Linked DNA regions of Arabidopsis thaliana. The protein of the gene in region 2 interacts with the protein of the main gene of each other region in a pairwise test. Each region holds a gene or a part of one and is shown on either strand. Other genes may lie near its edges. The genes, in order: AT1G63840 and AT3G11580.

Evidence for each region.
Region 1: the proteins of AT3G11580 (region 2) and AT1G63840 interact in a two-hybrid assay, tested with the Arabidopsis thaliana proteins (one large-scale study listed by BioGRID).

Annotation. Positions count from the first base shown.
Region 1 is NC_003070.9:23,688,815-23,692,385, reverse strand, and holds AT1G63840 (RING/U-box superfamily protein), read left to right. Parts: upstream 1-1,578; 5' UTR 1,579-1,894; coding exon 1,895-2,395; 3' UTR 2,396-2,783; downstream 2,784-3,571.
Region 2 is NC_003074.8:3,648,445-3,653,806, reverse strand, and holds AT3G11580 (AP2/B3-like transcriptional factor family protein), read left to right. Parts: upstream 1-2,317; 5' UTR 2,318-2,535; coding exon 2,536-3,112; coding exon of another isoform or gene 3,113-3,228; exon of another isoform or gene 3,229-3,754; coding exon 3,755-4,293; 3' UTR 4,294-4,588; coding exon of another isoform or gene 4,589-4,642; 3' UTR 4,643-4,847; downstream 4,848-5,362.

The DNA.
Region 1 (3,571 bases), on a different chromosome or scaffold from region 2:
AGTTCAACTAGTCATGTAATGATGTGAAGATACAAACATAATATGCATTTGAACTCAAATCCTATCAACCATAAGTAACATTTGGGTACCCATATTTATACCAAAACGTAACAGCCAATTAAAAAATCTGGTAAAATTTCATAGAAAACGACGTAATCGTGATACCTTTGTTTACTACTAATCTTGATACTTTATGATTTACATCCATGTGAAAATAAAATCATGTAGACCAAAAATTTCTCATACAAAAACATTAAAAATAGAAATAATGGTTTTGCAATATTTTGTTAAAACAGTTAATTTTTTTAAAAAAATACACACGTATATATTCATAGTTTATATACTTTATAGGCTTATAGCATAGTTCAATAGAGGTACAGACAAACTGAAAAGAAATGAACCTAACTATCTGTCTTCACCTCGATTATTTGTCGTCTGTCTGACTATTTTAATTTAATTCTAATAATTTATGAATGTGACTAGTTTGGCTTATAGGCAAAGATCAATTTTTAGAGTGGGGTTATTGAATATTGTATTCTAACGGAATTGTATGTATTTTCAAAGACACGGTGACATCCACTGTCATTCAATTTCTATTTGATTTTGTTACATTTGAGTTTCAATGTATTATTTTGTCTAAATCACGAGTAAAACAAATACGAGCCTTTTATCTCTGATTTTGATGTATTTCTCATAAAAATTATAAACAAAATAATTATTCCCAAAATTGTTTTATTTCTCTTTCATCTAACAAAGAGATAAAGAATCAGAAGCATTTTGAGAACAATATAATGGCGAAGAAACTGCAAGATCCACCGATGGCATCTTCAAAATGGAGCCTTCGGCTTTGGAGGAGGAAGATCGTATTTTAAGAACAGAAATTCGATCATTCATCCAGATCTGATCCCTTATGTTGCAGTTCCCACTCTCTTTTTTTCTTTTCTTTTTTGCCATTTATGATGCAGTGACTCTTTGAACATGAGTGAAGTTCAAAGAGAACTCAGTCAAAATCCATACCAATTAACGATTAACACATTACAACGTAATACATAAGTCGTGTATTGTAGTGACTTTGTCAAAATCCAAATTCAGTTACGCTAAAATACATTGAAAACATCAATCCAATAATTTTGAACCAAAGATTCAAATAAAAACACGATTTTTTTTATTTTGTAATCGAACGATTTTGAACCAAAGTATAGACTAATTAATATTTGGGATTTTTAGAAAAGTTTAATATATTTAAACCCTCATGGGTTAACCTAGGTATGAGTTTTTTTTTTTCATTTGTAATATGTTGATTATGTGTATTCTTGGGTGCTATAAGCAGAAGTTACATTTCTGTCTCCGTATACCGTATTAAAAATAATGTATACTCAATTGTAAATATCTTTGATTATGTCATTATGTATTTCATGTATACATGTCTTTTCTCCTAAAACTTTTATACCACTTCATAAATCAAGAATTGTAAGAAAGTTAAAATTAAATAAACAGAAATTTAGTGTTTAAATCTGATTTAAAATGGAAATTTGAAAGTAACGAGTTTATTATATAGTAAAATACATATAAGAAATTATTTAAAACCCTTATTTAAATTATATAGAAAAAAAAAAGGTCAAGTAGTCTTCTATTATTTACTAGTATAACCTCTAGAAACATCATCACCACATTCCTGGCTAATATCCTTCATCTAGAACAATTATTAACGAATCAAAATACCAAAAAACAAAGCACCTCATTGACTATTAAATTAGTACTAATACATTAATTAAGTTATTATTCCTATATATAAATCTCACCCATTCTCCACCTTATCATCACAATCCAAAACTCTCTCTCTCTCTCTCTCTCTGTCTCTTGTCTTATCATTTATCTCTCTAACGGCGAGGCAATGGGTTTTCCGGTGGGATATTCTGAGCTACTTCTCCCAAAAATCTTTTTCTACTTGTTATCTTTCTTAGGTTTGATACGTAAACTCATCTCCACAATGTTCAAGATCATTGGTCTACCAGATTTCTTAGAACCTGAACCGGTTTCAACCTCATGGCCCGACCCACCACCCACGTTGACCAAACCTGACTCAGCAGCAATACTAGCCGGAGAGATGTTACCGGTTGTTCGATTCTCGGATATAAACCGACCGGAATCCGAGTGTTGCGCAGTGTGTCTCTACGATTTCGAGAACGACGACGAGATCCGACGGCTGACGAATTGTCGACATATATTTCATCGGGGATGTTTGGACCGTTGGATGATGGGTTATAATCAGATGACGTGTCCACTTTGTCGTACACAGTTTATACCTGATCATCTTCAACTGGAGTTTAATCAAAGGCTCTGGTCTCAATCTTCTGCTGTTTCTTCTCAACTTCTTGATGAATCATCATCTTAGGACGTATTAAATCTTTGTCCAAACAAAAAAAAAAGACATATTAAATCCTTTTTTTTTGGTACTTTCATTGGGAATTGGGTTTGGTGTGAGATCGATGTAAATATTAAACAAAAAAAAAAAGGTAGTGGTTACAGGTTAATGAAAAAAGAAAGAAGAAGAAAATTTGTACTTATCCATCCCTGAAAGATGAAATTACATTTTGAGTTATTATAAAGTTGTAAACTTTTTTTTTTTGTTAAGGAAAAAAAAAATCATTTGCTATAACAGATTAATACTGAATGTGTTAGTTTTTTAGTACAGTATTTTAATAAACATTGTTTAGAAGTTATTTTTTAATTGTTACTTGTTCACCTGGCTAACTCAATGATACTGACATATTGTTTTTTGATTAAAGGCTTACATCAATGATATCTTTCTTTTATAATTTAAAATCAACAAGCATTATGCATAGGTCATTGAAGATAAGATTGTTTGTTCATCCCTATAACATGCTGAACTAATATATTTCAACATGTATTTGAGGGTATTTGAAATGTTCTATAAGTGGTAATAACAAAACTGAAGTCGGAAACCGATATGATTATTCCCCACAAGTGCTAACATCATGTATTTAGGTTCTCATCCGATGACATGTCTTGAAAGAAGCAAAAATTAATGGCGAAATCGTCATGAATATAGATATATCTTGGACATTGCATTTGACTTTTGTTTGATCACGTCTCTCACAAAGGAGCTTGGTGTGTCCTTTACGATTTATCATGTGATCTATTGTGACAATGCTGGAGCTATCTATCTATGGGATAATCATTTTGTTTCATTCTTGTTTGAAACATGTGGCACTTGACTATCATTTTATCCTAATCATGTTTTTCACTCCCGGTTTCTTATGTATTGTTCATATTTCGTCAAAAGATCAATTAGCAGATACATTCACCATATTTTTTGCTTACTATATTTTGCTACTTGTTTTGACAAAATAAGCTAACCTATATCTATCATTTATATTGAAGATAAGTATATAAGAGCTATCTAGTAAATATGTGTAATTTACACTTTTCTACTGAAACTAGAACTTTTACTTGTATATATATCCCAAGTTATGTTCTTTGTGTGGGAAAAAAAAAGTTAGGTTTCTTTGTATAAATATAGTTGTATCTCTATCATTAATCACTAAAA
Region 2 (5,362 bases):
TACTTACGAAAATAAAATACTTTAACTTATAGTGAATTGAAGAGTTAGTTTAATTTGATATTAATGGGGTCGAGTTGCAGACGTACATGCAAAAAGGTGCCTCTAAATCGACCTGGAAAATCATGTCAGTTTGTCCTTCAGTGCCTCTTTTAATTATGCAAAACTAATATTTGACAATGACATATCTTAGACATAATTAACATGGATCACTACAAATTTTATTTTATTTTATATCACTTATTTTGAATCGATTAAGTGTGAGGAGAGGAGTGAAACACGTCAAATATAACGAATCTTATATCTTTGTTTTTTTTCTTTTATTCTTACAATTATCTTGGAATTTGGAAACCCTAGTTGTTTCGGCTATTTGTTATACTATTGTTATAACAGTCACAAGACTTGACCTCAACGAAAACTTTTACAAAACGTGAATTGGAAATTTTTACAAAATATGCTCTTAATCGTTAATGCTTCCCAATTAGGTGAGTTAAATTGTGAGAGGAACCATTTCTTAGAGGAAATGGTTCATGAAAACAAATATGAAATAGTATCACTAGTCTTAGTTTTGCGAGAAAATTAGGAAAAATAGAAACGTGTAAGCACCAATGATATTCCTGAAAGCACGTGACAGATATTTCATGATCCTATAATTAACAAGTGATAAAGATATTAAATAAAATTAACGATACTTGAGAAATTCGTCAAATAAAATAGAAGAGGACCACTCACGTAACCATTTGCACGTCCCATTGATTTTTGTGGTAGACTTGGTATGTTATATTACTTATATTCACAGAATTATATACGAAACTCACGACTTAAGATGCACGGTAATAACTACAGATGGAAATTTACCCATCAAACAAGAAAACAACATTTACTCAAGCATCTAGCTAGACCAAAATGTTTGTTTACTTGTTGACTTGCGATCCATAGATATATTAGTTAGAACTTTTTCTTCTACAATTGATCAAATGTTTCACACTGTTCTCAATTTCTCATCTAGATTCATGACTTATATGTTTGGTCAAATATCACAGCTTGATGAGCATTAAATAGCGTCGAAGTATAGGATGGTTACGTTGTTCAATATTGTAAAGGAAAAAAAGAGAAAGAGTGCCAAAAGGTCAAGTCGATTTCACAAATAAATCTTGAAGTCTTTATCCCTCTCGATTATAAAATGATTAGGAAAAGAAAAAGAGAGAATAAAATGTAGATAAAGAGAAAGAGAAAGAGAGAGAGGAACATAAGGGATGGTATGAAGTAGAAGTGAAGATGCATGCGATGGTGTGTCGGAAAGGCAAAGCACATGCTACACAACTTGAGCTTCTCACTTGCGTCAGGGATAAGTATCCTCTGTACCTTCTTACTTTTGCGTAATATGTACCACCTCACTTCTCAACCGTTTGATCTTTAATCCTTCATTATTTCTTCATTACCTTCTCTTTTTGTTTTTGTTTTCGTTTTCAATTTCTCATAGATTCATTTACAAACTAAATATCATAGGAAGGTGTTATCTCTAGTTAATTTCTTATCCTACTTTAACAAAATTTAATTGTCAAAAGATTATTTTTACGTTTATAGACAAAAGATACTGACACATCAATTCCACGAACCAAATGGTTGAGAAAAACAAAACGACTATCTTTGTCTTGCAAATAAATTAATGGCAGTTAGTAAGATTCTCAGCTGAAAATTCATACAAGAGTAAATGATCAAATAACCATTTATGAGAGAAATTTAATCCTTCAGAAACCAATGAGGATCTGATCAAGTAATTGCAAACCACATGAGTCCATGATAAAGGATTGTTTGACTTACGCAATCCACATATTTATGGCTGCTTGATATGTAAGGTTTATCTGCTTTGACAGTCTATAGAATCTTGCTAATCAATACGTCATATCCGGTGAATACTGAAACTTTTTTAATTAAGAAAACACAAATCATCTTTTCTCCGGAGGATTTCGAATTTAGTTCCGGCAATGCTGAAATAACATATGTTGAACTTATAACATTCCAAGACATCAAATTTTACTAATATATAAATAATTACATATTCTTCTTCTACATGATCAAAACCTTTTCAACTTTAATTAAAGGGTTACGTCGCGGCGTTTTGTGTGGCTTACTCTTTTTTTACACTATAACTATAGAACACTCGTGGATCCAATGCCGTTTAGGACAAGATTTTATCAGACGAGAAAAAAAAAAACAATACCACATTTTTAAATATATATGGATTATGGACTGCAACAACAATATAGAAAAGAAGAGAAAAAAATAAAAATAATGATTGAAAGGAAATATCATCACGCAAAACCTTAAAAGTACTATCGGTATCGTGTCGTCCTCTCCTCATCAAATAGTTCCCACAGTTTTCACATCAATTTAACCATTTTCAATTTTTTTCACTCTCTGTCTCTCTCCTTTGTATAATACTATATTAGTACCATTACCCATCTCTCTTTCACCACCAAACCAACACCTGCAAATCCTCTCTCTCTCTCTCACTCCAAGAAACCAAAAAAAAAGATGTCAGTCAACCATTACCACAACACTCTCTCGTTGCATCATCACCACCAAAACGACGTAGCTATAGCACAACGAGAGTCTTTGTTCGAGAAATCACTCACACCAAGCGACGTCGGAAAGCTAAACCGCTTAGTCATACCAAAACAACACGCCGAGAAATACTTCCCTCTCAATAATAATAATAATAATGGCGGCAGCGGAGATGACGTGGCGACGACGGAGAAAGGGATGCTTCTTAGCTTCGAGGATGAGTCAGGCAAGTGTTGGAAATTCAGATACTCTTATTGGAACAGTAGCCAAAGCTACGTGTTGACCAAAGGATGGAGCAGGTACGTCAAAGACAAACACCTCGACGCAGGCGACGTTGTTTTCTTTCAACGTCACCGTTTTGATCTCCATAGACTCTTCATTGGCTGGCGGAGACGCGGTGAAGCTTCTTCCTCTCCCGCTGTCTCCGTTGTGTCTCAAGAAGCTCTAGTTAATACGACGGCGTATTGGAGCGGCTTGACTACACCTTATCGTCAAGTACACGCGTCAACTACTTACCCTAATATTCACCAAGAGTATTCACACTATGGTAAATTCAAACCCTTTATTTCCTCTTTTGTTTTTTCTTTCTCTCTTATCTATATGTCAGATTTATACTCCTCTCTGTTCTCTTTTAAGATTTGTCTTTTTCATAAAAATAGATGATTCGTAATTTGTATTGCATATTTACATGTTCTCTTAAAAAAAGTAATAGAGATTAATATTTTATGCATGGTATTTTAGATTATCTGCCTACTTTATATGGTAGTAAACAAGAACATTCATCTTTATTTGGTTTTATAAACAAAATATGAGAATTTTTAAAGGTTAGGGCAAGCACTTGGAAAGCTCAACCATTTTAGTTAGCTGGTGGAATATCTTTCTTATAAAAAGCAAATGAGTTATCTAAAACTATATGACAATTATTTTAGTTGCGTGTGTAATGTATATAAAATAACAACATGAAATAACATTTTGTCTTTTATTTTTGTCATTCTTATTATTTAATTTTGGACCCGACAATTTCAAATAATCTTCTCCAAGTTGTAACTAATCCGTTACATGCGCGTGAGGAGAACCGTCCAATCCACTTAGACTAACGTGCCCTTTATTTCTTCCTTTTAATTCTATGTTAAAAAAACAATTTAACTAAAAGATGCGCACGTGTCTTGACGGTGGAAAAAAATTGTAGGCGCCGTCGTTGATCATGCTCAGTCGATACCACCGGTGGTCGCAGGTAGCTCGAGGACGGTGAGGCTTTTTGGCGTGAACCTCGAATGTCATGGTGATGCCGTCGAGCCACCACCGCGTCCTGATGTCTATAATGACCAACACATTTACTATTACTCAACTCCTCATCCCATGGTAAATATTTTTTTTTTTTACATTTTTGTCAGATTCAAATTTTTGCTTACGTATGATATAATTATTAAACAGATGTCGTGGCTGTTTCTCGAGACGAGACAGATGAAAATTAGTAATTTTAAAATAGACCTGAAAGAGATTTTTATGTTTAATAAATTATATAAAGGAGGAATCAGAGAGAATAATACTATACACTTGACTGTAAAACCACATGGCCAATTTGGTTTTTATTTGATTACTTTGATTTGTTTTGTTTACTCTTTTGTCTCTGTAGCCTCCTTTTGTTCATTAATTAATATCAGCCGTAAGTATATAGTTTCCTGTGAAAACAGTCTCTATTTTGGTTTTACTATTCTAATTTGTTAGGCACCGTCAGTTTTTTTTGTGAAACCAAATTATTGACTAATAAGCTGGAAAGCAAAACTGACTAAAAGCATTACAAACTTATCAATGACATAAGTTTTGAATTTATTACCATGTTTTGTAATGTTCAGATATAATTTGAAATGCTTAGAATTATATATTTGTATACTTAAATTAATGAAATAAAGTGAATACTAAAGATAGTTTTATTTTTCATATTATTCTATACAATTCGGTGTACAATTTGTTTTTGATGATAATAAAAATAATAAAATTGCGTGTTGGAATTGTGAAACAGAATATATCATTTGCTGGGGAAGCATTGGAGCAGGTAGGAGATGGACGAGGTTGATGACTGACATTCAAAAAGAAGTGACAACTTTCTAGATTTTTAACTTTAGAATTTAGATTATGGGCCCATACTTGGCCCAATTGTCATAGAGAAAAAATGGACAAGAATTAATATTATTAGTAGCTTCGTTATGTATTTAGTATTTAACTAATTTGAAAATAAAAATAAAAGATGAGATTTTGTTTCTATTGTACATTTGAGTCAGAACAGAAAAAAAAAGTATATGCAAAAGATGTGAATTAGTGTGGGTTTATAGTAGTTGATATTTGAAGGCTAAAATAAAACCAATGAAAGCTTTCTATAGCACAAAAGTCATTTGAGGGCAGGTACCCCAAATTGGTGAGCTAGGCCTAGGCTAAACCTTATACACATGTAGCATGTATTTGATGATGAAAGATGAATTGGGAACTGTTGAGAGATTCATGTGAGGAGATTACGAGAAGAAAAGGTGTGGGCCTAATTACGAATGATTAAAGAAGAGAGAGCATATTCATATATAGCATGTGTGTAAATATATAGGTTGTGTTACATCGCCTTTTATCTCTTTTCCAAAGCCAAAGCCAGGGACCATTTTATTTGTTGCTGTGTTACTTACACTCTTCTTTTGATTCTCTATTTTGTTTTTGCATTACAAAGACAGTGTAAAAGGAATATGAATCATTTTTACAAGCTATGACAAAAATGGGTTTAGGTCCCAATTCTTTCTATGCATTTATGTTT